Drosophila melanogaster: one gene and its partners. The protein of the gene in region 1 interacts with the protein of each later gene in a pairwise test. Each region holds a gene or a part of one and is shown in the gene's direction. Other genes may lie near its edges.

What was found.
Region 2: the proteins of Ddr (region 1) and CG17470 interact in a two-hybrid assay, tested with the Drosophila melanogaster proteins (one large-scale study listed by BioGRID).
Region 3: the proteins of Ddr (region 1) and CG31482 interact in a two-hybrid assay, tested with the Drosophila melanogaster proteins (one large-scale study listed by BioGRID).
Region 4: the proteins of Ddr (region 1) and Met75Cb interact in a two-hybrid assay, tested with the Drosophila melanogaster proteins (one large-scale study listed by BioGRID).

Annotation. Positions count from the first base shown.
Region 1 is NT_033779.5:6,248,971-6,258,521, forward strand, and holds the start of Ddr (discoidin domain receptor), read left to right. Parts: upstream 1-4,152; 5' UTR 4,153-4,359; intron 4,360-6,888; exon of another isoform or gene 6,889-6,905; coding exon of another isoform or gene 6,906-7,556; exon of another isoform or gene 7,557-7,852; intron 7,853-9,551. Other genes in the region: AANATL2 (arylalkylamine N-acetyltransferase-like 2), read left to right, coding at 6,906-7,556.
Region 2 is NT_033779.5:20,639,520-20,647,369, reverse strand, and holds CG17470 (uncharacterized protein), read left to right. Parts: upstream 1-4,125; 5' UTR 4,126-4,265; coding exon 4,266-4,913; 3' UTR 4,914-5,064; downstream 5,065-7,850. Other genes in the region: CG2608 (uncharacterized protein), read right to left, coding at 508-1,275; phr6-4 ((6-4)-photolyase), read left to right, coding at 2,040-2,706, 2,770-3,725; Sfp38D (seminal fluid protein 38D), read right to left, coding at 5,855-6,321, 6,388-6,430; CG31680 (uncharacterized protein), read right to left, coding at 6,706-7,106, 7,178-7,220.
Region 3 is NT_033777.3:6,596,422-6,604,627, forward strand, and holds CG31482 (uncharacterized protein), read left to right. Parts: upstream 1-4,820; 5' UTR 4,821-4,888; coding exon 4,889-4,930; intron 4,931-4,988; coding exon 4,989-5,117; intron 5,118-5,174; coding exon 5,175-5,491; intron 5,492-5,544; coding exon 5,545-5,644; 3' UTR 5,645-5,780; downstream 5,781-8,206. Other genes in the region: CG1138 (uncharacterized protein), read right to left, coding at 643-1,515.
Region 4 is NT_037436.4:18,466,772-18,474,011, reverse strand, and holds Met75Cb (Met75Cb), read left to right. Parts: upstream 1-4,393; 5' UTR 4,394-4,413; coding exon 4,414-4,569; 3' UTR 4,570-4,634; downstream 4,635-7,240. Other genes in the region: Met75Ca, read left to right, coding at 1,648-1,803.

The DNA of each region.
Region 1 (9,551 bases):
TGGAAATACAACAATAGGGGAGTAGCTGCCGACGGGTAGGTATATTAGTGCCCCAAAATCATTGCTTGCCAAATGAATAATCTGAAATTATTACCCTAGAATATGCTGTGATTTAGGTGGTAAATTGCACGAGCTAATATGAATCAAGTTTCATAACTGGAAAATCCATCACCGAATATAAATTCAACTTAGTTACACTCAGTCAAAGTAGGCCGGAAGCGGACCGGAAACGGTTACGCCTCATCCATCGCAGCTAGGGCTGTTCGAGAGCCTACATACCAAAATCGAAATCACACTGTTCGACTTATGAAGGGTCCTCGACAGCAGGTGGATTAGGAGCGGTGTTCGAGGTCTGATACGTCAGGTGCCAGGTGCCTCCATGCTAAACTCATGGCTCCTTCGCCCAGCCAGCTAACCAACCAGCCAGCTGATTCTGACTCCGGCTCAAGTTTGGCATGAAACAACAATAAATATCGCACCACACACTGAGTCCCTCCAATCCCTAACTCCCTGCCCCACCACCACACAAACACCTACCCACCCACACACACCCACATCCACATGAATACCACACACACGACGCAAATTGCTTAGCATACTTTACGGCTTCAATTGGCAATTGGCAGCCTTTGAATTTTGTTTTTCCCCACCCACCCCATCGCCCCACACCTTTTCCTTTTCCGCTCACATGCCGCAGGCAAGGGGCTTTTGACACGAGTTGGTTGACGGCTTAAGGGGGCTGGGTGATGGGTGTTGTGGAGAATGGTGGTTGGGGGACAGCCCTAAGAACGCCGCCTGCCTGTCAGCTGACAAGTTGGCAACTTCTGTTGTTGTTGTCGGTTCTATGGAATTCCCCTTTTTTTTAGCTCGGCGCACTCAGAAAAATTTAAAGCAAAAAATTTGGCATAAAAATTGACAGGGGAACCTAGAGCAATCGATCTAACTAGTATCTAGTTAAACTTCTAACACCGTAGAAGTTTAGAACAGAAAGATAGAAATCTTTAAAATTGAAATTCAATACAGAGATACTTACAAATATATGTAGGTAAATGTCATATATTCCATAGTCCGAAAATTTAACCGTTTCTATGGCATTTTCTTGGATTTTAAGCGGAAATTGTGGTCATAAGCCCATAGTGCGACTGAATGTGCAACGCCGAGAAATATTTTGGTAGTCGAGTTTGCCCGCTGCGAGTTCCTTCGACCTTTTCAATCGACTTTCAACAGCTTATGACACCCAGCCTTATTATGACCGTCATGGCTGTCAAGATGGGAACCCGTTCCTCAGACGCTGTCTAATATCTTCATTAAGCCGGAGCGCTCGGCTTGTACCTTCCGTTCCAGCTCCACCTTTCGCCGCGCGCATTTTCTATTTGTTTTTCCCGAAACCTCACTCCGCAGTCGCACCTGAGCTCTTTTTTGACAGGCCAGACAGTTCAGGTGTAAAATAGTTTGCCACGTCAGGCGGCTGCGTTTTTGGCCGCCTATCTCTTTCTCCGTTTTCTCCGCTTATTGATTTTCCACCTTCACAAATGTCAGGACAATCAGTCTGACGTCTTGACTTTGGACCTCAAACGCCCGCAAACGGTCAGTTGTATTGGAAAACAAAGGGCATGAATCTTTTCTGTTTTTCCCGCTTTTCTAGTGTTTCGTCCCACGCGAATTTTGCGTCAAGTCATTGATTTTTGAGAAAAGATGGGAAGGAGCGTCATCGGTTCTCAAATCCTTTCTCGTTTCACAAATCATTTTGCCTAATTGCTTTGGATTTCTCAGTAATCCTCGAGACGGCCCGCCGTGACCTATCCTTGAACTTCCAAGGTCAATAGACATCTTATAGATTTATTGTATTTATATCGTAGGATTCACGTTTGATCCTATAATTGTGGTAACAAAGTGTAGGTTTCTACAGATTTCATTCTTTTCAATAAACTTAATCATATGATTTTAATGTTCAGCTCTTTAATTCAACTCATTTCCAGACAACTTCTTCTTTAATAAAAACAATCGCTTAAGATGCGCAAGATTATTCCCAATTGGCTAAGTCTGGGAGACAAAAGTTAAGTGCTCATTTTCCAATGCGCTGCTATCAACAGTTTGATAACTTTGCAGACATTAAATCGTTCACGGTTTGCAAAGCGTGAAAAGAAAAGCAAACAGCTGTAGGGAAAAACTTGTGATAAGAACTCTTGGCTCATGCTCGACATCAATCTGTTTTCCCCCTTCTGCATTAAGTCAACAATTTGATATGCATTTTGTTTTGTTGCTGCAAACACATTGCTCTCTGTCTTAGTGGGTTTTGGAATTTTCAAAGTTGCCTTAAGCCCCCGTGCTGCAACTTTCTGACAGCCGGTGATTGAATGTTTGGCAACGACATCGGGGATTAACTCGGCAGTTATCCTTATCAGCAGTCCGATGCCACCGGGGCCATTCAGACGCTCGTTGGCCAGACATGGCCCTAATTGAAGTGGCAACTTGCTTTAAACTAATTCCCGGCGATACACGCTTCAGCCATATGTTTATTCAGAAAGTGTGCCTGTGCAGATAAAAGGTATAAGATGAATTTGTTATTGAATAATGTCAAAATCGCATAGCCTTGCTAATTTCTTGTACATAATCCCTAAACGCAAAATTAAGCACATGTGTGTAATTTATTTGCTTAATTTTAATGCATTTTTGGTGTCACATTTCTTGGGTCTTTTATTAAGATTGACTACGCATAATAATTAGAGAGTTTAAACATTACGTTTTTGTTGCACAAAAAATGTTGTAAAAGCTAACAACATTTAACTGCATTTGATACAACAAAATTAAACCAATGTAGGTTTTCTATTTTAAGGGCTTTGCCTTGAGCTCTTGTGTATTTTTGAGATACATTTTACTTTATATAAAACGTAGATATTGATTTTTCTGATTAATAAATAGACAACTGGTTTCCAAGCAAATAAAGAAATTTAAGAATCGAGGCAATATTTAAGGATGTAAATGCGCAAAAGCCTTTAGGGTTTTACTCTCTGTTTGAATAAAATGTCATAAACAGCAGCCCACTTAATTAAATATTGGTTACTTGCATCTTTTGATATTTATTTTTTCCTCTTAGTTGCGACAATTTTAAAGTCTTTGTTGTTATCTTTTTTACATTTTTTTTATGATATCATTTTTTTTTACACCTCTCATACTCGAGTTATGAATATTGTAAAGGTAGAAAAATAAACTCCATTACTATATTGGTTAATGAAAGTTGAATACATTTCGCGGTGCCATGTTGCTTTACTTTGTTAAAACTTTTTTAAAAAAAAGTTGCATTCGCTTCCGTTCAGGATAATTAATTTTTTCGATAGCCCATTTTGATTTTTTCCATAATAACTCTTTTGCTGGCCGAAAACTTTTGTAGTTGTTTACATGACCCCCATCCCCCCCGCGGAGTTCAGCTGTTAGGATCCACAGCTCCTTATTTACCTTATGTAAATGTAAATGCTTATCAACAGGCAGCCGCGCTCCGTCTTATACGACGAAACAACGAGAGTCGAAGAGAGCGGAGCACGCTCTTAAATTGCAGAACTCTCTGATACAGTTCAAGTTAATACAAAGTAACGTTGAGTTTGTTTTGTTTGTGTGGGCGGGCTGGGCGGTGAAAGGTGAAGCAGGTCCAGAAATGTAATCAATAATTTTAAATATTTAATGCGCTAGCGAGAGAGTTTTTCCAGAAAAGTTGTGAAAAGAGGTATTTTCTTTTCAAAAACTATCTTAGCAAATGTGTCCAGTTTTGTATTCAATTTTGCATCAGAAACTATGTACCTTTATTTGTATTTACAAGCCAGAATTATGGACTCACCTGTGCCAGCAACAACTCACCTCCCCCTCACACAACCTACTCATACTTTTCTCATCAAACAAATGGGATCCACATGCGAGCGAGTTTGCGCCAATGATGAAAGAGAGTGGCGCTCTTTTAACCTACTCTTTCAAGTACTCTTTGCGACAGCAGGAAACGTCGCGCAAGGAAATCGCAAATGTTTCCTCTTTCGTGTGCATGTGTGTGGTGTCCTCCGTGCTGGTTCGTCTGTGTGCGTGTGGATGACATTGTGGCACTCGTTGAGGCAGCTCCAATTGACGGGCCAGTAGTCGTTGCGAAACTTTTGCTGGAGCAACGCGTCGGACAACTGGCGGTGTTGCACCTATCGTTATCGGCCATCGGCAATCGATTGTCGGCAATCGGCTATCGACAACAAACTATCGTTATCGGTTATCGTGTGTGTCGACCTTGGTGGTGATTAGTGTTAACGGTAACTTAACCATGTGCAACATCATCAAGCGAATATTGGATCATCCGCAGGACTCCAAAGGCCTCCGAATGTCCAGGTGAGCCCGTATGCTTTTCCACCCAGTTTTGCCACCCTGGCGACCCGCTTGCCACCACGAAAATTAACCTCGTTTGGCTTAAATGTAGTTAACTAAAGTTAAACGACCTCTAATGTCGATTTAATTATGTGAAAATAAAAGTTATGATTTCGTTTTTCGGCTTTTAGCTCATCTTAATGGGGTGATTAACGGTAATTCGCATGGTCGGGACGAATCCAATAAAAAGTTTAAGAAGTAATTGAAACTAATTAAAACTATGCTCACCGAAATATGCACCTAATATTTGCTAACAGCTTTATGATGCCATTAAAGACCGGCCAAAATTTGAGGGGGAAAAGTTGGCGGCGGCCAATCAAATTTGAGTGCTCCAACTTAAAATTAAATTATTTTGCTCTACTTTAACTTACATAACTCAAACCACTAATTGCTAACAAAACAATTTCAAATGGAGCTCATAAACTAAATCTTTAGTATTTCGCAGTGCCTGCAAATTCGACTTAACTTCTTACATGCCAAAATGCCATAATTATTGTGATTGTTAAAACGAACTAATGGATTGATTATAGCTATTCACAGCTCAATAGTTGAGGTTTAATGGGGACCTTGAAGTTATGATAATGAAATGTCTGATTAAGTGATAGATACAAAGCGCATAGTTCGGGCAACAAAAGGTAGCAAACCGTTTTAGCGCCTGAAAAACCCGCAGGCATTAAGATACCAGCTCAGATAGGCGTAGAGGTGATCGTGGGAACGAACTTTGACCCCTGCCAGTGCATTCGTTTTTAATTAAATGGAAGAGTGGACAGTGGAGGCCAAAAGTGACTTTTGAAATGGTCAGGCAGATAAAAGTGCAATAACTATAAAGCGAGGGTGGCGCAAACGCTATCGGCAGTCGGATCCTGGAGGTCGTGGACTGGGCGAACCCAAACACGCACAAATTTGTTAAGCGGGTCACGTAGTCCGGGAAATCCCATGCCATCCTAGCCAGCCCCTCTGGGTGTTGTCATCAACACGAAAATAAAAATAGAAAATTAAACTTGAAACGCGCAAAATGGCTACAAATGCTCTTGCTCTGCGCTGTGAAAATCGATTTCAATAAACTTTAATTCGTTTTCGTTTTCCCCACTGAAGTCATCGGATGTGGAAACCTTGAAAATGACGCAACAAATTAAATGCCAATAATTTAAAACAATTGCGACTCGAAATGCCAAGTAAAAGCAACCTTAAAAAGCGACCAGAGCGAGATAGCGTTTTGTTTATGGCTTTTAAATCTAATTAAATTCCCATAAAGACCGCGAGCGATATCAAAAAACAGCGCTGCACGTAGAGTAAATAAATAAATAAAAAAAAATGATTTTAAACTTCAAACGGGTTCAACGACTACCAAGCCCCGCAAATAATTGAAAAAGACAACTAGGGGGCGGAAAATGCAAAACGGCGATGGGCAACAAAGGGTTAATGTGGTGCAGTAAAGTGCGTGTGACAGTCCACGAGGGCAAACTAAAAAGGGGTTGATGTAAATTGCACTAATGACCTGCATTTTGAGTTTGAACAGCGATTCATAATTTAGCCAAATGATTCGTCGAACAGAAGGTGGGAACTCAACCACCGACTTGTTTCGCATTGAAACACGCAAAATGCAAAAGCAAAGCCCTGCCTTAAACCTGTTCAATTTTATTCACCGGACCACTCATTGTTTGGAATATTATTCACCACTTGAGAGTGGAATCGCCGTCTACAGACCTCAAGTTAACAACTTTTGTCCAAGTTTGAGAAGCAATTTTAACCCATATATCCCGGTGATTAGTGGCTTCCAATCCGTGTGAACTTCAGGATCCTGAAAACCTGATATGTTATCAGAGCTACAGTTTCAGGATTAAACAGATGCTTATTATATCTATCACTTTTTATATGTAGGGTACAGCTTGCGTTTAAGAACGAGTATCTTATAGTCGAGTTCGAGCCGGGTAGAAATTATATTTAAATGCCATCCACAAGTGGACTACTTGCCTAAAAATACCTGTCTTGAATTACCCGTTATACACTCTATATAAAAACATATTAAGTCTAAAGCTGCGCAATCTACACTTGAGATCAGTATCTACCGGCAAGTAAAATAGCTACATATAATGTTCCGTAGATATTAACCCAATGATAAGATCCGTATTACGAGACATATGGGGTCTCATATAAACCGTATAATGACTCGTCGTAATCAGGTGGCGTCAATCGGACCGCTAAATGGTTTGAGATCATTATTCACACGCTCAGAACAACAAAACTGGTGTCATTCAACCTCGGGGCCGCTTGTTTAGCGAACATCATTTTGAAAAAAAGCTTTGATAAGAACTGTGCGTCGGGTCAGTGGGTGGTTGGGCGGTGGGAGGTGGGCGGTGCGTTGGGAGGAGGGCCCCATATTCGTGAAAAGCTCAGAACGGAGACGATGGCGCAAGCTCACTGCATGTTTGATGGCCTGGCATGTATATAACAAGTAAATTGCGCTAAATTTCTCTCAGTCTCAGTCCGCGAGCGAGGCAAATGCGAAGATGTCAGCGATCACCATACGCGCCATGACAATCGGGGATTACGAGGAGGTCGAGGCCTTTCTCGCAGTGCACTTCTTCAAGCAGGAGCCGCTAATGCTGATCCCCCAGGAGGATCCCAAGCAGAGCGAGGTGTCTTCCGCGGAGGCTGAGCTACACCGCTCGCTCATACCCCAGGATCTCTCCCTGGTGGCCGTCGACGGGGAGCGCATTGTGGGCGTGGTTCTGGCCGGTGAATTGGTACCCGAGGATCTGGAGAGGGAGTACCAGGAGGCTGAGCAGAAGGAGATCACGTGCCTGCTGGACAAGATACACAAGTTTCTGGCCGGGATCGAGCGGCAGGCCAATATCTTCAAGCACTACGGAGTGGAGCGGGCGCTTTACCTGTACATGCTCGGTGTGGACGTGTCCATTCGACGCCAGAGAGTGGGCACCCGCCTGGTGGAGGCCACCATTGAGCTGGGTCGCCAGCGTGGATTTCCCGTCGTCACATCTACCTGCAGCAACCAGAACTCCAAACGCCTTATGACCGCCCTAAACATGGAGTGCATACTCACAAAGGATTACGCGGACTACAAGGACGAGCACGGGGAGATCGTCCTGCGGGCATCCGAGCCACACACCTCCGCCAGTGTCGTGGCCATACGACTGTAAGAGTAGGAAAATTACCAAAGAATGTAGAAACATAGCTCATGGCAACATGATAGATAGGCAATATAAGGAGGGGGAGTCGTAAGAAACTAAACCGATTTTGATAGATAAGAAAGCTTTGTTTATGTAGACATTGTAATCAACTTTGTATTGTTTTCAGTTCAAGTATATAGGAATTCAAACTATTATCATAAGTGTTTGTCGTTGATTTCTTGGGTCTTGCAAAATAAATGAGTAAGCGTGCAATTAACCGGGTATTTCCCAGCACTGTCCCATCCAAGATCGTAACTCTTCCACATAAATCACTTTGGAAAATCTGTCCGATTTGTCTGTGCGATTTTAAGTGTGGGATAAGAAATCCGGCGATTTGCTTTTGCCCAACATTAGCAGTTAAAGTCGTAAACGAGAACAGCCACTTCTTTCCCGTCGAGTGGCACATCCCACGAACTTTGCCCTCCCATTAGCTCGGCCTTGCTGCGGGGACCCACTTCATCGTATTCCATCTCGGTCGTCCATTAAAGGGACGCAGCACTGTTGTCGGCACTGCGGTTGCCCTGCTCTCATTTTTCCGCTTTCGCACTAAAACTAATTGTTGTTTTATTGTGTTTGTAATCCAATCCACTGGCGAAACGCTAGCCACATGCGATGCAGGCGCAAACCATACATATATATGAGATACACATGGGCGACGGATTACTCCCCTTCGTCGTCTTATCTGTGATTATATATATAAAACATATGATTATGTAACATGTGCGTTGTTTTGGTTTCGATTGGCCGCGAAGGCTGAGCAGAATTATGGATCTCACACTTGGCTACCTTGAGCAGAAAGCTTTCTTTTCACGCTAACCGAGAAGCTTTTCTGATTCTCTGGTCGCAAGAACCTAGAAGTTGTGACAATTTTCCCAGATACTTTTTTTATGCTGCCGAGTTCATTTGATGAAGGCATGTCAGAATAGCTCGAGGTAGTTAGTAACTTGAAGGATTAGCATTCGGTACATAGAATTTGTCGAAAACATAAAAATTCATTTTTGAGTAAGCTGGTGAGGCTGGAAGTGCAACAGAATATTTTGGAATGTAAATGGCGACGAGGGACTGGGACTCGATTGGAATGGGTCCTTTGGGTGGCCAGACAAAGTCCTGTCTGGTTGAAAATTCAGCAAACAGACCAAAAACCAACGTAATTTACATGTCTGCAGGATAAGTTCGACAAGAATCGAGCAGGAGGGGCAAATCTGAGGAAAGTCAGAGGGATTTTTACTACCGCTTTGGCCTGAACAGTCTGTTTGCCATGTTTCGCCAGTCTGGTAACAGTTGTTGCTGACCCCTGACCCTCAAATAGAAAAATTCGATTGGAGATAAAAGCGTATAGTCTCAAATTGCTTAATCAACACCAAAGGTTATGATGTAAAGCAATCGATTAGATGACTGTAGCAGCCCTTTAGCCAGATTCTCGGAGGCTCAAGTTTTAATTAAAAATGCTTGAAAAAATGTTGCTAACAAAGTCGCCAGCATAATGCAGCAAAATTGCCTAAAAAGAAAGCCGCTGGCATGGAAAAACATTTTAACAACCACATCCCGCAGCGGAGGGCAGTGAAGCCAGCCCCATGTTGGCCCGGCATATTTGCAAACCGCCACAGTTTTAGGTGCACTGAAATTTCTCCAAATATTTGCGCAAGTGAATTTTTGATTTATGCCAGCAAAGCGTGACCTAAAAATTTTTTCATACTCAGCCAAACTAATTAAAAGTGAAAAGTTGACATTTTCTAGTTGAATTTTTGATTTATGGCGTGAACTTCCCAACCGCAGCGAAAAATTTAATGAAAATTCAATCAAAGTTTGCGGCACTCTCCGTGAGTTCGGATTATTTTGCGGCACGGAAAACTTGCAACATATGGCTGCCCAGTCTCCCAACTTCCCACTTGCCCACTTGCCCAGCTGCCCTGTATGACCCGACCTCCGTCCGTTTTGTTATTGTTTAAGTGACCCTAATGAAGA
Region 2 (7,850 bases), about 14 Mb from region 1:
TATAAATAGATATTGCGATTCGGACTCTGCTACGGACACATAACTTGCTTAAAACATGTACAACTTTCGGATCTTAATTGGCCAACAAATGAAATTGCTTATTACTTATGATTTACATGGCAGTCAGAGACCTTTCATGTGACTAATCTGAATCAACAAAACTAATCTCACTCGATACAAGGCTGTCATTACTCAAAAAAAAAGGGCATTTAATTTAATGGGGCTAACCTAAGATAAAAATTAGTATCAAGCCTATTACCAAATACGATTAATGTGGGCAAAAACATAGTATGAATACTATAAATTTAAAAATCTTTGGCTCCCTGAAGATGATTACTGCTCTGTTTTGTCAAATATTGTCGATGTTATCGAGCAGGAGTTTGCGAACAAGACGAGCATGTCATGTCTGATTCTCTGATTCTGATTTAAGAAGTATAATCCTTTTTTTTGGTTGCGACAGTCTTGCATTAAGTGAGCTATCTGTATACTAATTGGGTCACAGGCGACTCATGGGTCCTCTGTGGATGTGGTTGCCTCTTGCGCTTGCTGCTCTTGCTCCAGCTCCTGCTGCTGAGCCAATCGCAGACGCTTTTTGGCCTGGATGTCGGCCAAAGTTTGTTCGATGGAGCGCACATCCTTCTTATTCTTGCTAGGCACGAATCCGTAGCTTTGGTTGGTCTCCGTCTTACGGGCCGCCTGCAGTGCGGCCGACTCTCCGATGAGGTGGGCATACTTGGCCTTGTAGTTGGTCGTGGGCTTAACTTCGCCGGAGTCCTGATCCGCTGATGTGGATGTGGACGAGCCTGAACTTGCTGCTTCGGATGTGGAGGCTTCTTTGTCACTTTGCTCCTGCGCCAATCGTTCCCGCCGTCGCTCCGCGTACTCCTTGGCTATCTCCTCGTTCCAACCGTCTCCGTTCCGACGGGCCGTGACCTCATCCTCGCCAGGAGCGTGTTCCTTTTTGTACACAACCGAATGTCGGTCCACATCCTCGCGGCCAAAGCTCATGGCAATGAAGCCGCCATTTTCGGCTACTTCGTGGATCACCGAGCGATGCACTTTATCCAGCGGCTGAAACTCGATGCATCGCCTGTCGTCCTTGGCGAATCGCCCCATCCGTTCGTCTACATATTTTCGGAATCGGAGGAGCTCCTCTTTCTGTTTGTTCTGCATCCGCTCTAACATTTCGCGCTGTTTCTTGATCAGCGTCTTCTGTTGCTCGTTGTTGGCAGGCGGCGCATCCATGGCGTTGAGTATTGAGTCGAGCAGATCCATTTTTCCGCCGTGTTTTCCTCGCTTAATGTTGAGCAATTGGCGGATGTGCGCCTGCAATGCCATCGAAAGATATGCGAGGGAATTTCAGTTAATCGAGCTGTTCGCTCTTCGTGGCCGTATTGTTAGGAACTTACCACTCTCTGGCGTTTATTATTATCCCGTTGAGATGTTTGATTGCGGTTGATCAGCTTGTTTTAGGTGGTTTAATGTAATTATAATTATATTGACTACCGGTGCTTGTGCACCAAATAAACTCTGCAAAAAATACTGAAAGTGAGGATGGCCAACTTGGTCGCTATTGCCATACTTCGGTATTTTCGAATCGCAAAACAGCTGTTTACACTCGACGGACGACTTGAAACATAAATTCTTGAAAGATTTAAAAAAATGTATATACAATATCTTGCTCAAAACATGTAAAAAGAGGTTAGACATTTCATTTTGTAATTTTAAATTGATTAAAGCATGTAGAGCATGAACGTTTAACAAGTTCTACGTTTTTACATCATAAAATATTATTGTGAACATATTTAAATTTCATATTATGCAATGAAATTTGTCTTCATATTATTTGCACTTGCCCTATCTACGTATGTGAACAAAATAAACACGCTCACCAGAACATTATACACTTTCCTTGCAGCGCAGTGTAAATAAGTTCAGAAAACGTGTTGGCAGGTTCGTTAGAACGCTCTTGCTTTTGAAATATATTTTCTACGATAAATCCGCATAGGTACCGTTTGAAATCGGGGACACGTGCCAAAATGGATTCACAAAGGTCCACGTTGGTCCACTGGTTCCGTAAAGGACTCCGGTTGCACGACAATCCGGCATTATCGCACATTTTTACCGCCGCTAACGCTGCTCCAGGAAAATACTTTGTTCGCCCGATTTTCATTTTGGATCCAGGAATCCTCGATTGGATGCAAGTGGGTGCCAATCGATGGCGATTCCTGCAGCAAACGCTGGAGGACTTGGATAACCAGCTTCGGAAACTTAATTCCCGTCTGTTTGTGGTGCGCGGGAAGCCCGCAGAGGTTTTTCCCCGTATTTTTAAGAGTTGGCGCGTGGAAATGCTAACTTTTGAGACAGATATCGAGCCGTACTCCGTGACCCGGGATGCTGCCGTGCAGAAGTTGGCCAAGGCAGAGGGTGTGAGAGTGGAAACTCATTGCTCCCACACGATTTATAATCCGGAATTAGTAATAGCGAAGAATCTTGGCAAGGCTCCAATTACCTATCAAAAGTTCCTGGGCATTGTGGAGCAACTAAAGGTACCTAAAGTTCTAGGGGTTCCTGAAAAGCTTAAAAACATGCCTACACCACCCAAAGATGAGGTGGAGCAAAAGGATTCGGCGGCCTATGATTGTCCTACGATGAAGCAATTAGTAAAACGCCCGGAGGAACTGGGCCCTAATAAGTTTCCGGGAGGTAAAAACATAGTTAAACTCTTGATCACAACTACAACAATGTGGATTTCTTTTTATCAAACAGGCGAAACAGAGGCACTGCGCCGCATGGAGGAATCCCTAAAGGATGAAATTTGGGTTGCCCGCTTTGAGAAGCCCAACACGGCACCCAACTCGCTGGAGCCTAGCACTACCGTACTAAGCCCTTACCTCAAATTTGGATGCCTTAGTGCCCGACTGTTCAATCAAAAGCTCAAGGAAATTATCAAACGCCAGCCGAAGCACTCGCAGCCGCCCGTTTCGCTCATTGGACAACTCATGTGGAGGGAATTTTACTACACAGTGGCGGCTGCGGAACCCAATTTCGATCGAATGTTGGGCAATGTATACTGCATGCAAATTCCGTGGCAGGAGCATCCAGATCACTTGGAGGCCTGGACACACGGACGCACAGGATATCCTTTCATCGACGCCATCATGCGTCAGCTGCGCCAGGAGGGTTGGATCCATCATCTGGCCCGGCATGCAGTGGCATGTTTCTTAACGCGCGGAGACCTCTGGATCAGTTGGGAGGAGGGACAGCGGGTGTTCGAGCAGCTGCTGCTGGATCAGGACTGGGCACTAAACGCTGGCAACTGGATGTGGCTATCTGCGTCCGCTTTCTTTCACCAGTATTTTCGCGTCTACAGTCCGGTGGCGTTTGGCAAGAAAACGGATCCCCAAGGGCACTATATCAGGAAGTATGTGCCGGAACTCTCAAAATATCCTGCTGGCTGTATTTATGAGCCCTGGAAGGCGTCGCTGGTGGATCAGCGGGCATACGGCTGCGTCCTCGGCACGGATTATCCCCACCGGATTGTTAAACACGAAGTGGTGCACAAGGAGAACATTAAGAGAATGGGCGCCGCCTACAAAGTAAATCGGGAGGTGCGCACTGGCAAGGAGGAGGAGTCGTCTTTCGAGGAGAAATCAGAAACCTCCACGTCTGGCAAGCGGAAGGTGCGAAGGGCAACCGGAAGTGCCCCTAAGCGAAAACGTTAAAACCTAAAATTTGTTCGCTACCTTATGTAAAAGGTAGTTAGATCTACGGAGTGAGCTAATATGAATTAAGGATGGAAGAATTGTTTTATGTACTATTTTAGGTATAAATCTATAAACTTCTTGATTGTTACCCTACCGAAATTTAGGTATAAAACGAGTATATAGTATTTGTTGGAATTGGAATTGGAATTGGAATGTTCGAGTTGTCAATAGGTATAAGAGGGTGACAAAAGAATATGTTTAAACGCTTGTGTACTTCACATAAAATGCACCAATAAAGATATTGATACGGCGATAGTGATTTCATTTATATTTCAATTTCAGTAATTATCAGTAACCAGTGTAGCCTGGCCTTTAACTTCCTTCACAATCGAGATTTGTCAGTTGTCGGGTTTAGCTGGGAATTTTAGTCATATCTAAAATTTCGGCAACATAAGACCTTCCAATTTTTGTTTGTAAATAAGAACGTTTTTTAAATTTAACTTCGGTTTTTGTTCTGTTGGGTAGTTAGTTTCCGCACTCGAAACACCGACAAAAACCATGTTTCGCAATCTTTCGATGCTGAGGAATCAGCTGGCGCTGCACCGTGTCCGTGTGGCCCGCTCGACCTTGCACTCCAAAATGTCTACTGGTCTTACTTGCCTCACCATTGACCGTCCGCGGAACATCGATGGCGTGACCGTGATAGATATCAATATAAATGAGATGGCCAAGACTGACGTAGAGTTTAATCGCAATTTCGTCAATTCGCTGACATTGATGGACCATACTCCATTCAAAGAGGTGACCAACATAGTGGACGCGGATGCAGTTGAGTCGCCACCAGCAGAGAATCCGATTTCTGGAGATACCGTGGAGATCCTGCCTACTGGCGCACCTAGTTCCGTCGTAGGCGTCGACGGCAACCCCATTGTCCCCATCGAGATTGATGGCTGGAACCAGGACGAGGAGGATCCCACCGTGCAAAAGAACGTCCAGGACGTGGACATTGGTAACGATGACGAGTACAAGGCCGAGATGGAGCTGCGGGTGCCGGAGGTCAGGGAAGGTCGAACCGAGTACAAGGGCATCAAGGTGACGTTGCCGGAATCGGCCAACCAGGATGTCGGCACTTATCGCTTCCGCCGCGATCCAAAGGATCTGGAGGAGGTCGGCGACGACACGCGCCTGGTTCGATACGACAAGTAGAAAAACTGGTTCCAAAATTCTTAAGGATTTTTTTGGACGACTTCCGCTTGCGACTATTCCAATTTTTTAGCGTATTCAATAGGTTTTCGGTAAAAGGAAGCACTAGCATTGATGTAATAAAAAAAAACATATTTATATGTTCAGTTAATAGAAATTTTACTTTTTTCTTTGCTTCATTAATCTGTAAACTAAAATTTAGCCTTATTGCCTGATCTAGATAGAAATGCGACCATATGGACTCGCATCCGCAATCTGCAAAATTGCAAATTTGTCCAAAGTTCGATTGACGATTATGATGCGGACATGGCCACTAAGAACTGTCAGTTGGCAACCGGTCATGCTTTAATGAAAACCCAACTAGAGACCGCGACCACTATTTTAACCCACCCATGCCACATGCCGCATGCCCCATACCCCATGCCCCGCGCCTACATCCACATCCACTCTCCATATCACAAAAGATCGCTTTGTGGTCAGTGGCAACCGAATCCGGGGCAAACACTTCCCATAAATTGCATTAAAAGCGGGCCAGGAGCGAAAACTACTCGCAACAATGCAGCCGGACATAAACACGCTGCAAAATGTTTGTAGGCTCTAAACCAAAATTGAATTTGCGGTTTTGCCTGCGGGGCGTGGCAGTGGGCGTGGGTGTGGCCGTGGGCGTAGCTGTTGGCGTAGGCATTTAGTCGGCGGCCGGTGGTGTGACAGTATCTGTGCAGGTGGGGGCCGGCCAAATAACTGTAAATGAAGCTAAAATGTGGTCAGCCGAATTGTGGATGCAATAAAAATGGCCACGGGCTCTGCGAAATGAAAGTATGGTCAACGAGATTGATTATAATCAATATTAACAGGGCCGGAAACTCGTTGCTGGAAGCTCTCGAAAGATACATATATGTGTATATATTGATATAATGCACTATCTAGATACTAGTAATACTAGCTTAGTAATAACTATACTCATCCGGATTTTCAGAGCTTTCACTTAGTTCACTAGACTGCACTTTAGTTGTTTCGCATTGTTTCGAGTTGCGTATGAGGTTTGTTTGCTTAGTTAAATTCGAAAAATTGTGGGCCAATTTAAGGGATCTTTTCTGGCGTTGGTAATACTTGAGACACCCTTTATCCTTTATCGGGACTTTGGCCATAATATCGGATATGAGGTCATCGATCGCCGTAATGCGTTCCCTAATTTTATTTTCCAATTGCAAGCGACGTTCGTCGTAGTTTTTAAATTCAGCTTTGACCTTCATTTTGTCTTCCAATCTTCTCGACTTGCTAGTTTTCTCAAGTTTGCCAATCCACTGAGAGAATTCGGGATTGCTAAGAGCTTGCAGTTTATATTTCTCCACAAGTCCCTTTAGTCGAATTGTGGCTTCGTCATTAAGCTGGCCAATTGTAGTGCCAAGTACTGCATAAATATTGCTTAAATGAGTGTCTGTCTTGGGATATCTGTACAAATGTACTATGTACTTACTGTAGCCAATATTTGCCAATAGGCATATTGCCATAAACTTCATATTGGCGGTTCGAAATGCTAACTGAAGTGAATAGCTAAAATGGGAAAGTCTACAAAGGGCAAAGCAAATCGATGGATATGCACATGCATATTAAGCATATTAAATAGATTAAGCTTAAATACTTAAGCCATGCAAAGCAACTGCGGTTAAAAAAACCTTATCACACAAATTCAAACAAATATTCAACAGGCTTGCCCATAATTAATTAAGCTTGAATTATTCCAAAGTATTTCAATCAAAAGCGATATTTTATTTGATTTGGTTAAACATATTTATCATAAGTAGTCAACAAAGTAAGGGTCACCAAGCCTGCCGTCATCCAATCCATGAGGGCATCTTACACTATTTTGGTAGAGAACCTGTTGTTTTCTTTCATTGGAGGACTTGTAGGCACTTTCAAGTTCAGCTTCCTGATTAAGGTAGAATCGAAGACATCTCTTGCTTGCGTTTCTTATGGCAATTATGGATCTGATCGTTATCAAGCGCTCAGTAATTTGATCCTCAAGTCTTTGCCGATGCTTATTGTAGTGATTGAATTCATCGGCAACGGTGTTTACCCTTTCTATCCACTGGTAGAACTCGGGGTTTCCGGTGGATAGGTATTTGTACTTGTTTGAAATATTATGAAGCCTCCACGTCGCCAGCCTGTCCATTTCTGCTAAGGATTCACTTAGAACTGTGGAATATATTGTAATTTCCTGTCATATTAGAGGCTGATATCTCAATCTGGATCTGCAATGAACTCACCAAAGCCCAGATTCGCCAATACTAAGAGTGCTATTATCTTCATTCCGCTAACCAACAAATGCATCTGATACGGATATTTTAAATATTGTTAATTTATAAACCTAAAATAATATATAAAGGAGTGTAGAAAACCCATTCGTCAAGCTTTGCGATTGACTTTTTACACTCTTAAAAAAAAAATGTGCAACAAATGCTAGGTAAACAAGACTTGAAGCCATATGCATTTTTAAACCAATTCGATACAAACATGTCATATTAATGCTCGCTTAATAACTTATAGATATAAGCCTCATTTTCAGTAATACCCATGGAAATAGACTTGTGTACTCGGAAAAACTGACTGCCACCAGTTTTCGTCGGAAATAATGGGGTTGGTGACATGTGGTCCATGTGCTGTTGCTGCTACTTTTAAGGGCGTCCGTCGGCTGCCGGGAAAACTTAATCCTTAAACATCCGACGCCAAAAACCAGTGCGGTTTTAAATTAAACAATATAACAAGCTCTAGTCCAGTTCCTCGACTATCTAGAGGACTAGATACCCATTTGCCAGTTGGTCGGAGTGCGAACAAGAATTTTCAACCATTTTTTGGTATATTGGCAGAGTAGGTGTTCGATAAAGGTTAACCAAAAGCGACCTTTTATTTGATTTCATTGGACAATTTTATGATCAATAG
Region 3 (8,206 bases), on another chromosome or scaffold:
CATTATCGTAAATTTTTATGCTAAATACATTTCGTTGTTGGACCCAAAGATACAAACACCAAAACCGAAAGCGACAAAAGAAAATCCTGACCCTGGGCGTCAGAATTGGGATGCTCTTTTAAAAATGGACCCAAATTAAAGAGGACAGTTCACCCTTAATAAGTAGTAAGAATGCAAAAAAAGTATTGAAAGAAATGATATTTAATGTAAATATATTTAAAACGTAATAGATACAATTTCTTACATATATCAGTTGCGTACAAAATATATATACATATATGTATATACATATAGAAATTATAACATTTTTATATTATTTTTCTTTTTTGGCCTACAGGATGCCGAAACACATCGCATGTAAGAAAATACATGCTCTTCCTAGTCAAATGTACATTAGGGTACCACCATTTGTGGCAGATGCCGTCCCGTGGATGCGACTCCTCCGATGACCAACATAATCAAGGAATTCGCATATGGAGGGCCGGCCCGTGGATCCTGACAAATTGAACAATTTAAAGAGGGCTTTGTGGGTTTATTGTGGACGAGCTAAGTAGGTCTGTGTGCCGGTGATACAAGAGCTTGGGCGGCTCGTGGTGCCGCCTTGAAGTAAGCCGAATCGGAGTTCGAAAAAATATAAAAGTATTAAAGGTCTGAACGAATGGATACACAGGAATTTTTCACGTTCTGGAAGATTTCACATTTTTTGTTATTTATCACGCTTGAAAGATAATCTTGCAAATTTTCCGCGGCTGTTTTTAAAGAGATTGTCACCCTAGCGGCTTCCTTCCGAAAAGGTTTGTATTCACTCTTTAACATCTGCTTTTTAAGTTGAGTTGTTATCATCTCATTACTTTTTTCTATAAATTCATAGAACTCCCTGCCAGTATACTTATCTTGGTCCAAGAACCTAAACCGTTGAAGACATAGTCCTTGATGTTTTTCGAATTTGAGCTTAAAGGAGTCTAGTTTTTGAATTTCAATCTGCAACTGATCCCCTAATTTCTTGCTTCTGCAGTATTCATCCCGTACCAGTTTTTTGGCCAGATTGGATGATCTTCGGACGGATTGCATCTGAGTCAGTTGGTGCTGTAGTTTATGGCTTGCAAACTTCAGCTGAAGAATTTCGGGATGAACTTCCTTTACATTTGTCAAAAATATATGATCATCCAGGCAGGGATCTATTTTTGGGCATTCCGGTATATTGGTACCTAGTTGGTAATTGAGTCGATTTACGCGCCGCTTTAAGCGAAACACCTCATCGTAAATATCTTCGAGTTCCAGATTGCTTTTCTCGTTTGATTCTTCTAGAACTTCCTCAGCGATCCAGCAATCTTCGGATTGCAAAACACTCTGCATCGTGCAGTGAAACACTTTTTTTGGCCCGTTATGTTTGAATGCGAACTTTGATTGTGCCAGTTTCTTATCATTTGGTTTAGTGTTTTCCATTTTACTTATTCCTGCTGCCTTGCACGATAAATTTTGGTCCACTGATTGCAGTATTGGTAATGAATTCATCTTGAATTCATTCCTCCAAATTAACCAATATCCAATTAACTGTGAACTTCAAAACGGAAACTAACTCGGTACACAACGAGCACTTCCAGTGTTTTCAAATCATCTAACACAAATCTCAATGAAGGCTTAGATAAAATATCGTATATATCGATCTATCTATGGGTTTGTTCGATCTTTTAGTTGGGTACGTGCAATTATTATATCCTTTTTCAAAGCGTCCCTTAATTTGTAGTTTTAACTACAACTAATGCAGTCTTCAACGCAGATATATACGCAATATATAAAAATGTTATCGGCAAGAAAATCCACTGAAAAATTTGCTCAACTCCCATTCACGGAATTTCAAATCCTAACAAAAAGCCTGCTTAATGTGAATTTAAAATACCAAAATGAAGACGGAAAAAGTTGGGATACTATACTGTCCCAAATAAAATAGCAAAAACATAAACTTATTTATATATAAATACAATTATAAGGAAAATACATACTTATGTTGTTATTTAAGCCAGGTTCTAGACACTCTGAACTCCAAAAATGTAAGAAGAGTTTGGATGCAGTGTGCACTCAATGGGTAAGCTCACATTATTGAATAGATTTTGCGGAAGGCAGAAGCTTTCCTTTTCACTGAATGACAGCGGAAAATGAAGTGAAATCTAATTAAAACCCTTTGCTAAAATCACAATTGTCAGCGAAAGCTCACGCACACCTGCTCGCAAAACTCACGAGCACACAAACACTGACACAGACAGATGGACAGACACCGGCGATTCCCATACGCAAACAAATAGAGGATCCGATTCTGAGCCCGAGTGGGGCGGTCCTGGCAGGTGAAAAACAGACGTCAGCTGTCCAACTACCCGAATGCGGAATCTGGTGAAAACAGTGCAAAAGTTTTGACCAGAAATAAAAGAAAGGCGAACTGTACTCGGCTTTGGAAGCCACCACCACTTAGTGATGCCAAAGAGAACCTGTGTTTGTAAGATTATTACTAGGAAAACCAAACTTGAATAATACCAATAAATATACAGGAAAGACAGGACAAATCCAATTTATGTTACATGTTTTGGATGTCTACATCACCCATGAAACTCCGCGAATCTAGCCATTAGTTAAATGGCTTAATAAAAATTGTTTATGTTTATTAGGGTAAATCATTGACAGTTTCATAATTTGATTGTAAATGATGGTAATCGGTAGCTTACAATAAGCTGGCTCACCTTTTTTTTTAAGATTTCTTAGGATAGGTAAGTGCCATCTCTGATTTGAATCTAGATGCCACGGGGTGAGGGGCACATAACCTCCAGGAGCGAATAAAACGCGCTGTTGCACACGAAAAATAACAAGCTGCGTTGGTCAATTCATCGAATGTCGGTCAGGGCTGCCGCCAGGGAGAAATGGATTGGGCAATGGGCACTGGGCAATGGGAAGCAGGAGCCCGGAGGTGGGTAAGACCACCTGGGCGGAGGTCCATGCAGGGGGCGACATAAAAGTTTCACACCCAGCCATTTGGCCATCAGTGTCCAACAGAGCCGTTGGGCCGGAGTTGCTGTGTTTGAATTAAAAGAAATTAGTTTAGTTATGCCAATGCTCCCCGGGCTACGCTATTGAGTTATCGGCCAGGCAGGAGTGGGACAACTTGGTGCCGGTGACAGGAGGCAACTCGGATGGATAAATTGCAAGTTTTCCCTTACAATTTTGAGTGTGTGCTGCTTGTCCTTGCGTGCCTGGAATTTCAGAAAAAATAAACGCTTTGCGTGTTGCTCTTCTGATGTCGTTTAACCATTATGTGGCATGAATTTGCCATTTTCATTTAAATGCTGCTCTTGGCAGCGAGTCAACTCGTTGGCTTTTTAGCGACTGTTCTGCATTCATAAGCAGCAATCGTATATATCCTGCGGAATGTACTGAAATTGTTGTTGGATTTAGGTCTAAATGTATACAAAACTAGTATTCTTATTTGTTAAGCCCTGAATAAATTTAATTTTTAAATTGCATAAATTGCAGTGCAGTGAAATCATCTGTAATACCCATAGTACCAAAAACCTTATTTTTGTGAATGATTTTGTGTTGCGTACAAAACCTAGATTTCACGCTGATCATTTCCATTCCTAAGTTTTGAAAACAGCAGAGGTGCCATCACCAGTGACGAACCAGATTATGCTCATGCTGGTGCCATCGAAATTGATAGTGGAAATATGTGTGCTGAATGGGATATTTAAGCGCGCCTATCAAACACGCGCACAATAAATCTTCGTCACGGGCCCAAATTGACATTTTACAGCCAAAAACCAGAAACCAAAGCCACGCAGAGGACAAAGTAAGTTCCACTAGTCCGTGTTCCAGCTGCTTTTTTGCTCCTGCGGCTGCCGCTGTTTCGAAAGCCACTGATATTGTTGTCAACGATGATGGCCCAAGGCATCAGCCACATGTGTGGGAGCCAGAGCTCGTCCCTCCTCAAAGTGCCCTCGCACATGGTTGGCAAAGCCAAACCTTTATTGCCACAGCTCCATGGAGCAACAGCGAAAATTTAATATCTGGCTGGGGCGTGGCTCCATTGGAGCTGGTCCGTTGTTGCTGGCGATCAGAACTCATCGCATTATCCTTTGGCCTGGTGGCGGTTACTCGCTCAAAATAATTGCACACTGCACCCCCAATAAGTCTGTTCGCCCGTTTGATACAGAGAAATTTCTATTCGCATTTCCCAAACAAAAGTGGTGTACAAAAATAAAACTGCATATAAGTTTTAAAACATACGCCATACAAAATATATTAAAAAATGTCCGAAAAAATATTGTGCTTTTCCTCGTTCTGGTTTTCAGTGTCTCTGTGAAGTCATCTGTCAGTACCCTAATGCAAAAAGCATGAAACCTCAGGCCAGCTGTCAACACAACAAGCAAATTGCCGCGGAAGCATCAGTTTTGAGGCAACTAGACTTTTTTGATATGGAAAAACCCCTATCAGTAAGAGTCACTAGAACTATAGGTTTATTTTTAAAAATAATCAGCTCCTTTAACACAAAGTTAGACTTCTAAGTAGACAAACAAAATTTAACCCTCGTCTAATTTGTGTTTCTTTTGAGATTGGTTTTGATACTCAGCTTTCCATGCATTATGTCCGAATCTAAAGTCAACTTCATATTTTAGTAGATTTTTGGAACGATACTCATGTACAAATGATACAAACTGCATGAGAAGTGCACGGACTAAAAACTGTATTAATTAAGGGATCCTCCATACGCTTTATAGGTACACCAAACTAATTACAATTTAAGTAACTTTTAAATTACGTCACCAGAATTTCGAGGTCTTTAAAGCAATCAGAATCCTAGATAAGTTTGTCAAAGTTTTCGTGCTATAGTTATTCTCAAAAAAACATGTTTTTGGTGAACATATTGATTGTTTTGGCTCTATGTTTGGTATAATTAAATATTTAGTAATTTTAAATGAAATCTGATTTATTCTCCTGTATTCTAGTTGGTGTTGGTTATAGCTGATCTTCAGGAGGACCATCTAAATGAACACAATCGGTTGAGGGAGAAGCATGGAAGTCCGCCTCTGACCTTGGACGATGAACTCACAAAGGGATGCGAAGAATATGCTAAAGTATTTCGTTGGTTAATAACAATGTTACCTTTTTACACTTTTAATACCCTCGAACAGGTGCTAGCCAATAATGAAAAGTTAGAGCATTCAAGTTCTGCCGGTCAAAACTATGGTGAAAACTTGTGCATGCGGTCACAAACCCCTCTGCAATGTGTTCAAGACTGGTACGACGAAATCGCGGACTACGACTTTGAAAAGCCACAGTTTGCAATGTCAACGGGTCATTTCACCGCCCTCGTTTGGAAGAATGCGAAAAAAATGGGTATTGGGCAAGCCAAGGACAAAAAGGGTTACTACTGGGTGGTAGCAAGATATTATCCACCAGTCAATGTGAACGGGCAGTTCGAAGAAAATGTTCTTCCGCCGATCAAAGGGTAAGCAAATTAATTACATCTGTAGTTTTTTCTTTCATTTTATTTCATTGCAGGGAAGGTGATGAAAATGGTCAAGGCAATTTGAATAGATTTCAAGTTGACAATATTCCCATCATAGTCATGCTTTGGTTATGCTGGCAATTCACAAATTGAGGGTCATTATCACTTTGAAGTTTTTGTGCCGCAGTTCTTGTAAATTTGTAGTTAAGCAATTTGAAAAACCAATTACTGATATTTGAAACTACTCTGTACCCAATAATAAATTTCACTTTTTGGAAGTTTGGTGAATATGCCATTGTTAGTTATGTAAAACCATTCTATCTAGTTGCTTGCAACTTGTAGTTCACCAGGAAGATATTAAAACAGCACACGATATTTAATGATCGAAACTGGGGAGTGCTGCCTTAACACTGGGGTGTTTGGCATTTACAAAAACTATTTAAATGCATGAAATATTTTGAATTAAAAAAAAGAGAGAATGTTATAGTCGAGTTCCCCGACTATCTAATACCCGTTACTCAGCTGCTGGCAGTGAGAACGTGATATTTCATAATTTTCTGGCATATCGATAGATATTGGAGAATTTAATGGGAAGGCGTGGCTGCATGGATGAACAAACTTGTGCTTTAGAATCTGTATGCTTTATCTTAACCTTATAGCTTATATAATTCCTGAAATTTCGACGGTCATACGAACGACCAGACAGACGGACATGATCCTGATCAAGAATAAATATACTTTATACGGTCAGAAACTCTTCCTTCTACATACTTCCTTGACATACTTTTTAACGAATCTAGTGTATTCTACTTAATTCTACGAGTAACGGGTATAAAATGTGTTAAAATTTATATTATTTGAAACAGCTATTACTACAGCTATAGAAATCCAATCTAAGACGACACAGCACTGGTGGGCGTGTGAGTATGTTGGGTTAATTTGAATTCGTGCGATAGGGATATTCAGTTTTTTTTTTTCACTAGGCGCGGGTTGTTCTGGCCTTTTTCTTTCCGCATTTATTTTTATCTTTTTTGGCAATCAGCATCAGCCGAAAGGAATTCCCCATTGACTATGCCGGTGTCAACAAAGTGGCGGAAAAGAATTAGGTATACTGTCTCGGTTGGCTGTTTATACCCTTCTACTATCTCAATCCTTAACAAGTTTTAGATGGCTTAATATATTTATAAAATTATATAAATTGTAATCATTTTTATGAATTATATCACATTACTTTACCACTAAGTCAAAATGGGTGACTTATGCACCTTTTGGGGTGGTACCTACCACGTACTGGGTATCTATAAGTCGGTGCAATCAACTAGAGCGCTATTTTATTTCAAGCTTTGTTTCCTACATGTCTGTTCCCAAGTGGAAGTCGATGTCTGGGGCTCAGCAGCTGCCGGGAGCGCATTAAATCCTTAAGCACTCATTATTATTCAATCAGATATGGAGTCGAATGTCTTTTTGTTTGTGTCTTACTTAGCCTCGCTTTCTGGGTGGCTGCGCCGTGCGTGGGTCCACCTAATGACATTCAAATTGCTTCCATCTCTGGTCGGTTTCAATTGGAACACCTTGCACAAAAATTAATGGAATTATAGATCACAGCGTCTAGGGATGCATGTTCCCCAGATATTTCTTTGACGTCTGGTTGAGTGTTAAATGTAATGAAAGCAGAAATTCTATACGGATTTGAAAGTTGGAAATTGGTACACTTCTTAAAGAAAATAGTGTGAAAAATGTGTGTCATTTGGAAAACTGTATTTTTTATGCATACCTTTAATGCGTTTGCTTTTGAGGGCTGAATAACTATCTTTCGAATGTCCTTTAGTTCGGGCACTTATAAAATGCTCCCCATCACCACTCTATTATGGTTTGGGTTCGACGGATAGCCGAGTTTGTCAACTATTTACAACTTGAACTTGGTCGTAATATTTATGTGCATCGTAAAGGCCGAAAGTTGGAGCGACGCACTGAGAAAATGTTGTGAAATCAAATTTACACACAAACCATCCCTAATGACCTAGCCCACAGACAGAACGGAAACACGGAGGCGCCACTCCGGAAAAGGACGAAGCCAAGTCGCGGAGCGTTGTGTCTCGTTGGCAGAACTTCATTCGCGGGGCTGGAAATTGTTTAATTTCGCCCTCTCTTAATTATCTGCAGTGTGCCGGGTGCTTAAATTATAATGGCGCTGACCTAATTGAGTAATAATTAAAATTAAGTGCATGCTAAATTGTTATTAATTATAAAGTGCACGCAAAGATGCCACCAACTTTCATCGATAGCGTGCTAAGGGATACTTAAAGGGCCCGGGCTAGTTGGTTGCAAGTGTCACCAATCGAGAAGGGCAGACTGAAATCTATGGCCCATTCAGACCATTTACAATATTCTCTTTTTAATAAAATAGCACTGCGGCCAAAAGTTAATTTACTTTTCGCGACGCGTAATAACTTTGGCCAAATATTAAATGCGGTACTGGCAACTAATGCAATCACACCCTCTATTCAGATTGAGAGACTGCAGCAGTTGCACTGACATTTCAATATAAATTATTGCCAATGGGAGTGGATAAAATGTCGCATGTACCCGGAACATGAAAACACCGAACAACAAATAGACGACTGGCTGGTGGCGGAACAAAAACAAGGGGAAAACCAGAAAAGAGCGTTATTCATCGTTAAAGCGACTGAAGGCTAGAGCGATGACGACAGCGGC
Region 4 (7,240 bases), on another chromosome or scaffold:
AATCGCCAAGCGAAAAGCGAAACTGAGTACCAATGTCAAGACTAATGGCGTTTTATTTTTCGTTGGGCTACGAACTCAATTAGCTGCCGTGCGTAGCGTAATTAAGTTGATGCCACGCCCAATTCGATAACCTAAACCTATTCGGGCGTCCACTACCTGCCCACGCCATCCGCCCCCCAAATGATCCAGTTTTATGCCACCTGACGTCGCCTCGCGATGTGTATGCAAATACATTATGCGAACTGCTTTCGAGCTGGCTTAAATTAATTTATCACGTGCCAAAATAAAGCAACTACCGGTGGCTTCCCCCCTCTGCATTTTTCGTGTAATTAATTAAATTCGAGTCGGAGGAGCTCCTAAAAGTTCGCCACGAACAAAAATTGTTTGCTTCGCTAAAGTTTAAGTTGTGCTCTTAAAAATTAAGTTCTTCTTTTGCAATTCCGGGGCATAAAGCTATCCGCTTACACATAATGGCGCCCCACATTCGGGCGCCCCATGTGCCCTACTCAAGTCCAACTTTCTGGGTAATTATGTCTCCATGTAAGCTCCGGGCAGCAGTCGTCACTCAGCTGGGTTTTACCGATTTTCCGATTTTCCGATTTTCCTTTTCGGCTTTTGCTTTCTATCCGAAAAGAGGAATATTAAGTATTCATTGGGAAACGCAAGAGAAAATCGGTTGAAGTGGTTGCGGGAAGTTGCCGAAAGGCAGCGTTCGTCATTTCAAATTGAATTTTTAATTTTTAAATACTTACCAACTGGCGAAAAAGAGTTGCAACTATAATGCATGGCAAAACTGTGAAAAACGTCAATGGCACTTCCAATCTAAATAAGTAATTTTTTAAAGCTTAAGTAAGGGATTTATCAGTAGACCAAATTTTGTAAACTTTTGTTGGGTAAATTGATTCTTATAAAAAGGTATTATGGGAAAAACTGAGACTTAAGGAAATTAATTACAAAGCTCATTGATACAAATTTTCAACAGTTATTATTATTGAAACACATATTACAAGTTTTCTAAAGTCTCTTAAAAAGACTAAACACACTAAAACAAATTAGGCCAAGGCAAGGTAAATGGGATCTTAGTTAAATTAGTTATTAGCTAAACTAACTTTGCAAATCCCATTTGTAATGTAATGTAATCGATGCAAAGCTAAAATAACTATTTATTTACTGAACACAGCCCGTAAAAAGTGCGTATTGAATTTCCTTCGATGTGCGAAGTGCAAGTGATTAAACAAGTAAGTGCGGAGTATTACATGTGATGATGTGGTGCTTGACGGGAACTCAATTCTCTTGGCAAGTTCAAACAGAAATCTAATTTAAAGCGGCTAGAAAGACTGAAGAGATCTGAAGAGAGACGGGTGGGAAAATGGGTAATGTGTGTCTGTGGACTGCTCATTTCGCTTGTTTACGCATCCAACTTGCCATCAAGCATACGCCAAGTGAGCCATCGCAACAGAAAGGGTCATCGGAGAAATGTTAAACTAGAGCGAACAGCTTACGTAAGTGATGGGATTTAAATGCCGGAAAAACTTAAATGGCAAGCTTAACGCCGTATCACGTAGCATCCATATTAATTGCAACGTGTAGTCGGGTATAAATAGCTCACTACCTGCCACAGCCGATCATTCAGCACTACTCGACAAGATGAACGTATTCAATGGTTTCTTGCTAGTCTTCCTGGGCCTGGCCCTCAGCTCTGTGGATGCACAGATAGCAACACGCCAGGAAACCTCGGAGGACAAGGCTTGTGGTCCCCACGCCTACTACAATTACGCCCGGCACACTTGCCTGCCATTCTAGGAACCTTTCCAAAGTGTCCTATGCCTAAAGAAATAAAACGTTAAGGTACTAAATGTACCAGAAATTAATACGCGATGTTTAAGTTAAACGGGAAAAGAGGGTGCAGCATAAAAAGAGTGGACATTACATTAATGGTAATTCTATCCTTTTGGGAGATGCTTAAGAAGAAGATCATTTACAATACTTCTTACTGTTCAGAACCATCGATTTAGGTTAAGAAAATAACTAGATTTCTTATTATGAATGAATTGGTAAGCTCAATGGGCCATTATTTGAACGACCTTCAGCAGCTACCTCATCCACACCATGACTCCGAGGAAATGTTGGCAATACGTGGAAGAGCTTTCTTGAATGCACAACTTTATGCCCCTTTCACTGCTTCGCTAATTAATTCACCCCTAAGAAGAACGGTTTCCCAGTCCCAGGAAGCTGCATCATAAACCAACTTGTAATGGCGACTGCAGTCAGGCCAACGACTCTTATAAATGATTCTTAGAAAAAGGTATTATTGGAAAAACTGAGGCTAAAGGAAATTATTTACAAAGCTCATTGATACAACTTTTCAACAGTTATTATTATTGAGACACATATTATACATTTTCTAAAGTGTCTTAATTAATTTTAGCTAACTCAAAACACTAAAACAAATTAAGCCAAGTCAGTGTAAATTGGATCTTAGTTAAATGAGTTATTTGCCAAACTAACTTTGCAAATCCCATTTGTAATGTAATGAAATCGATGCAAAGCTAAACTACCTGTTTATTTACTACACCTCAATCATTAAAATTGTTGCTAATTTGCTAAAGCAGATTGAGTTACAGCTTGAGGACACAGTCGGTGAAAAGAGTGTGTTGAATTTCCTTCGATGTGGAAAGTACAAGTGATTAAACAAGTAAGTGAGTTGTATGTTGTCCTTGTTGTCCTTGACTACCCTCTCCTCAATAAGGATCGTGGTCCCCATGTCCGCTTCTACAGCTCTTTCCTCGCACATGAGCTTGTTGCCGAGTCTTCGGTTGGATTTTACCTACACCTTTTCGCTAACATCGAATACCCTATTCTGCGGCGAGGCGTTTTCTCTATCCCTTTCAGCTTTCTGGATCCTATTGTGGAAATCTACGTGTGGCTCATCAGGTTGCGTTAGGACGATGTCAGCCGATCTCCTTTTGATGACCGAGTGAATCGACCTATTATTATATTGGATAGTGGCCAACATTACTATATCGACCGTATCACTTATGCCCTTGTCTATCCTTATGCACCTGGCTAGCTCCAGCAATGTGAAAACGCTCCACCTGTCCGTTGGAGGTACTGTTTAGTGGTGATGCATTTGTAATGCTTACACCAAAGTTGTTGCAAAGCATGGACACGATCGTGTGCGACTTCAGCGACGGTTCGTTGTCGCAATACATGGTCTTTAATAGTTCTCGAGGCGGTAGGTTGTACGATGGCAAATTAAGAAAACTTCTCGACGCAAGTGAGGAATAACTTGTTGTCAGCATAAAAAAAAATGTCTTTGTGCAAGACAGTATTGTGTGACAGTATTGGCGTTTCACCGAATTCTTGCTTCATTGGGTGCCTATCTTACTTGGCCCTCGCACAAGTCCTGCAGTTCTGCACGATCTCATTGGCCAGCTTGGATATTTTGGGGAAATAGTATTCCGACAATACCTGCTTTACTTTTTCTTGCTCTGCTCTGTATGCACTATTGTGTTCAGCAGTTAAGATTTCCCTTCTTTCTTCGAATCTGAGAACGTCCACAACGCGGTTCCTGCAATGCCAGAACTGTGTGGCTGGGAACCTCCGGGATATCTCATCCTGTACCTTTGCGAGCGTGCGAAAATCGCAATGGAAAGCGTTTACGCCCCTTGGGACGATTATGTCTACTGCCAACCAAAAGGCGGGTTCTTTGATCCGCTTCTGCTTGTTGGGGTGGCTTGACCCGCTGATGGGCACTTGCCTAGTATTCTTTTTCCACCATGCTCCTCACAAAGCTGGCAGCATACGCATATCTTTCATGGTACTATTCCACCTCTTGCGCCAGCGCCAGAGTTGACGGCAAGAACAGCTGAGAACAGCACATCTGTGAGACTACGCTTGAGTCCCGAAACCAACACACAATGTGCATCTTCGCGGAAGTTTTCACAGAGGCCCTTTGACTTTATTAGTCAACAATGTAAGTTTTTGCCGACTTCATCGTAATATTGAAGTAAAGACATGCTGCCTTGTCTCAGCGTATCCAACTCGCTCGATTACATGAACTGGACGTTTGTCGCTGTATGCGACTTATAATCGCGTCAAAGTTAAGTACTGTGCCGAAAGAAGCCAGAACAAACATACGATTCATGTGCGCCTGCAAACTCGGGCAAGCATTGATGGCATCCAATTTGCCATCAAGCATACGCCAAGTGAGCCATCGCAACAGAGAGGGTCATCGGAGAAATGTTAAACTAGAGCGAACAGCTTACGTAAGTGATGGGATTTAAATGCCGGAAAAACTTAAATGGCAAGCTTAACGCCGTATCACGTAGCATCCATATTAATTGCAACGTGTAGTCGGGTATAAATAGCTCACTACCTGCCACAGCCGATCATTCAGCACTACTCGACAAGATGAACGTATTCAATGGTTTCTTGCTAGTCTTCCTGGGCCTGGCCCTCAGCTCTGTGGATGCACAGATAGCAACACGCCAGGAAACCTCGGAGGACAAGGCTTGTGGTCCCCACGCCTACTACAATTACGCCCGGCACACTTGCCTGCCATTCTAGGAACCTTTCCAAAGTGTCCTATGCCTAAAGAAATAAAACGTTAAGGTACTAAATGTACCAGAAATAAATACGCGATGTTTAAGTTAAATGGGAAAAGAGGGTGCAGCATAAAAAGAGTGGACATTACATTAATGGTAATTCTATCCTTTTGGGAGATGCTTAAGAAGAAGATCATTTACAATACTTCTTACTGTTCAGAACCATCGATTTAGGTTAAGAAAATAACTAGATTTCTTATTATGAATGAATTGGTAAGCTCAATGGGCCATTATTTGAACGACCTTCAGCAGCTACCTCATCCACACCATGACTCCGAGGATGTGTTGGCAAGGACGTGGAAGAGCTTTCTTGAATGCACAACTTTATGCCCCTTCCTTTCACTGCTTCGCTAATTAATTCGCCCCTAAGAAGAACGGTTTCCCAGTCCCAGGAAGCCGCATCATAAACCAACTTGTTATGGCTTATTAATTTTGCATGCAGCCGCGACTGCAGTCAGGCCAACGTCATGTAAACATGTGCAGGATTCCACTGGCTCCTGCCTGTGAGAGGGGGTCCTGTGCTCGCAACTGAGAACTCGAGCCCGGAAAAGACAGCCTGATGGGGCCTCTCATCGGGAAAGTTAAAGCCTGCTCGAGGCAGATTTATTGCATTTTAATGCGGGCTCTGGATTGCACTCAATTGGTTAACTGGCCGACAAACACAGATTTAATTTCAAATATTTACTATTATCTGCGGGGAATCTTTGGACAGCGAATAAAACGTTTTTTCCGTGTGCCGCTGGCATAAAAATTATATTTACTGACTGAATGAAATTTTCCTGCTTTATTATTTGTTACGCTTTTACGTTTAATTCAGTAGCCCATATTTACTTTTCATTTAATTTCAGTTAAACTTGCAGATTGCCATTGAAAATCAAATTTTTTCGAAATTGGTGTTCCCACTTTGAATTTTGGCTTATTTTCTAATTTGCTTTTGTGAAAACAGTATTTTAATTGCCAAGTATACCTCAATTAAATACATTTGCCTGTTGTTCCATTTTGCCATATGCAGAGTTAACCGAATTATTCATGTAATTTAATTAGCATCGTCAATGAACCAATTATCATTTATGGCTCACAATTAAGGCAAAGAGCTAATAAAAATAAATTGTATTGTGCTCGAATATGGTTGTGTTAACACAAACGCAATTGAAACTTTATAATTACTGAAGAAAGAACTTTGCAATCTATTAAAAATTGCACTCAATTGTTCTCTATTCTTAGTTTGAAAATTATTTCACTCGTCTGGGCTGATCTTATCGCTAATGCCAATAAATATTCTCTGCGCTATTCATCAACCTCAAGTGCCGCCAATAATGTCCCCTTTCGAAAAACGATTCTATATTTAAGCTTCTGTTTTATGGTCATCGACAAATGTCCAAACATTGACAGCTATTGTGATAGTTGCTGCCTGTCACAACCAACTGGGGCAGACTAATAGTTGGTTTTATCCCCTTGCATCCTGTCGAGTCCTGTGGACTACGTCACAAATGAGAGCGTCATGCGAGGAGCATCCTGGACTACCATTTTCCTGAAATACAAACAAAGCATAAATTTTAACGAGCTTGTCAGGCGAAACAGGCGAGGCAACAGCCACCATGTACTTCGATATCGACGCATCATTATATAATTGACTCCCTGATGCCTGGATGTCGAATCACTTTATCACTTTGTTGTCGGCGATGGCGGAGCTAATAATGCTGATGCCCTCGATACAAGTTGCCCGATTATGATGATGCGAGGATGCTTATCTGGTGGAGATTCGCTGAATTAAGGTAATCAGGTCAACCAGTCTCGGTTTTAAATTGAATTTATATTAATAAAGTGTTGATGAGAGCTGCTAGTGTTAAAACCCCTGAAGAAAATGTAAACGTCATACCAAAATCTCACTTTAATCTGAGGCATATTTTAACATTTATTATAGGGGGCATTTATTTATCTAGCTCCAAACATAAAATTCGGGTTAGGAAGCGCAATGCATTAAATATTGTGATTTTAATTTAAAAGCTGTCGAGTGCACAACCAAGAACTTGTTGTGGCTTGACTGTGGTTCTGATACATTTAAGTATTCTGCCTTTGGCCAAAGAATTGAAAAATTTAACAACTTGTTGTCAGCTGCTCCTTAACTAGAATTCTTTGGTTTTAATCAAATTTATAATGTACACACATGGTCTATTAAAAAATTCATGTTTTCTTCATGCTGAAGTGCAATTTGAGTGTGTTAAATTTATTGAAAAAATGTGCACCAAAATTGAAACCTTTATGCAAGGCACAGTCGTTTTTCATCTGAAGTGACGTTGATTGGTGAAGTGAGTTCAGTCGAGGTCAAGTCCCTACTTCTCCTAGTATTCCTCATCCTTCACAATTTTACATCCTTGGCGCCTTTGTGGATTTCCTAAGCCGAATATACATATATATATTTTTTGAGTTAAGCCACAAAAATATGTTCTTTTTACCACACATTTGCCTCTCTTCCCTCGAGCTTGCAACTTTTCCAAGCAAATATTTGGGCTGTGAACCTGCCGCAAAGTTTTCCCTGTGACAAGAGCACATATCAAGGAGCCTCGCCGTGTGTCGGTAGATATCAAACAACGTGACTTGCCAACGGTTCTCGAGTCCTTGTTGATATTTCA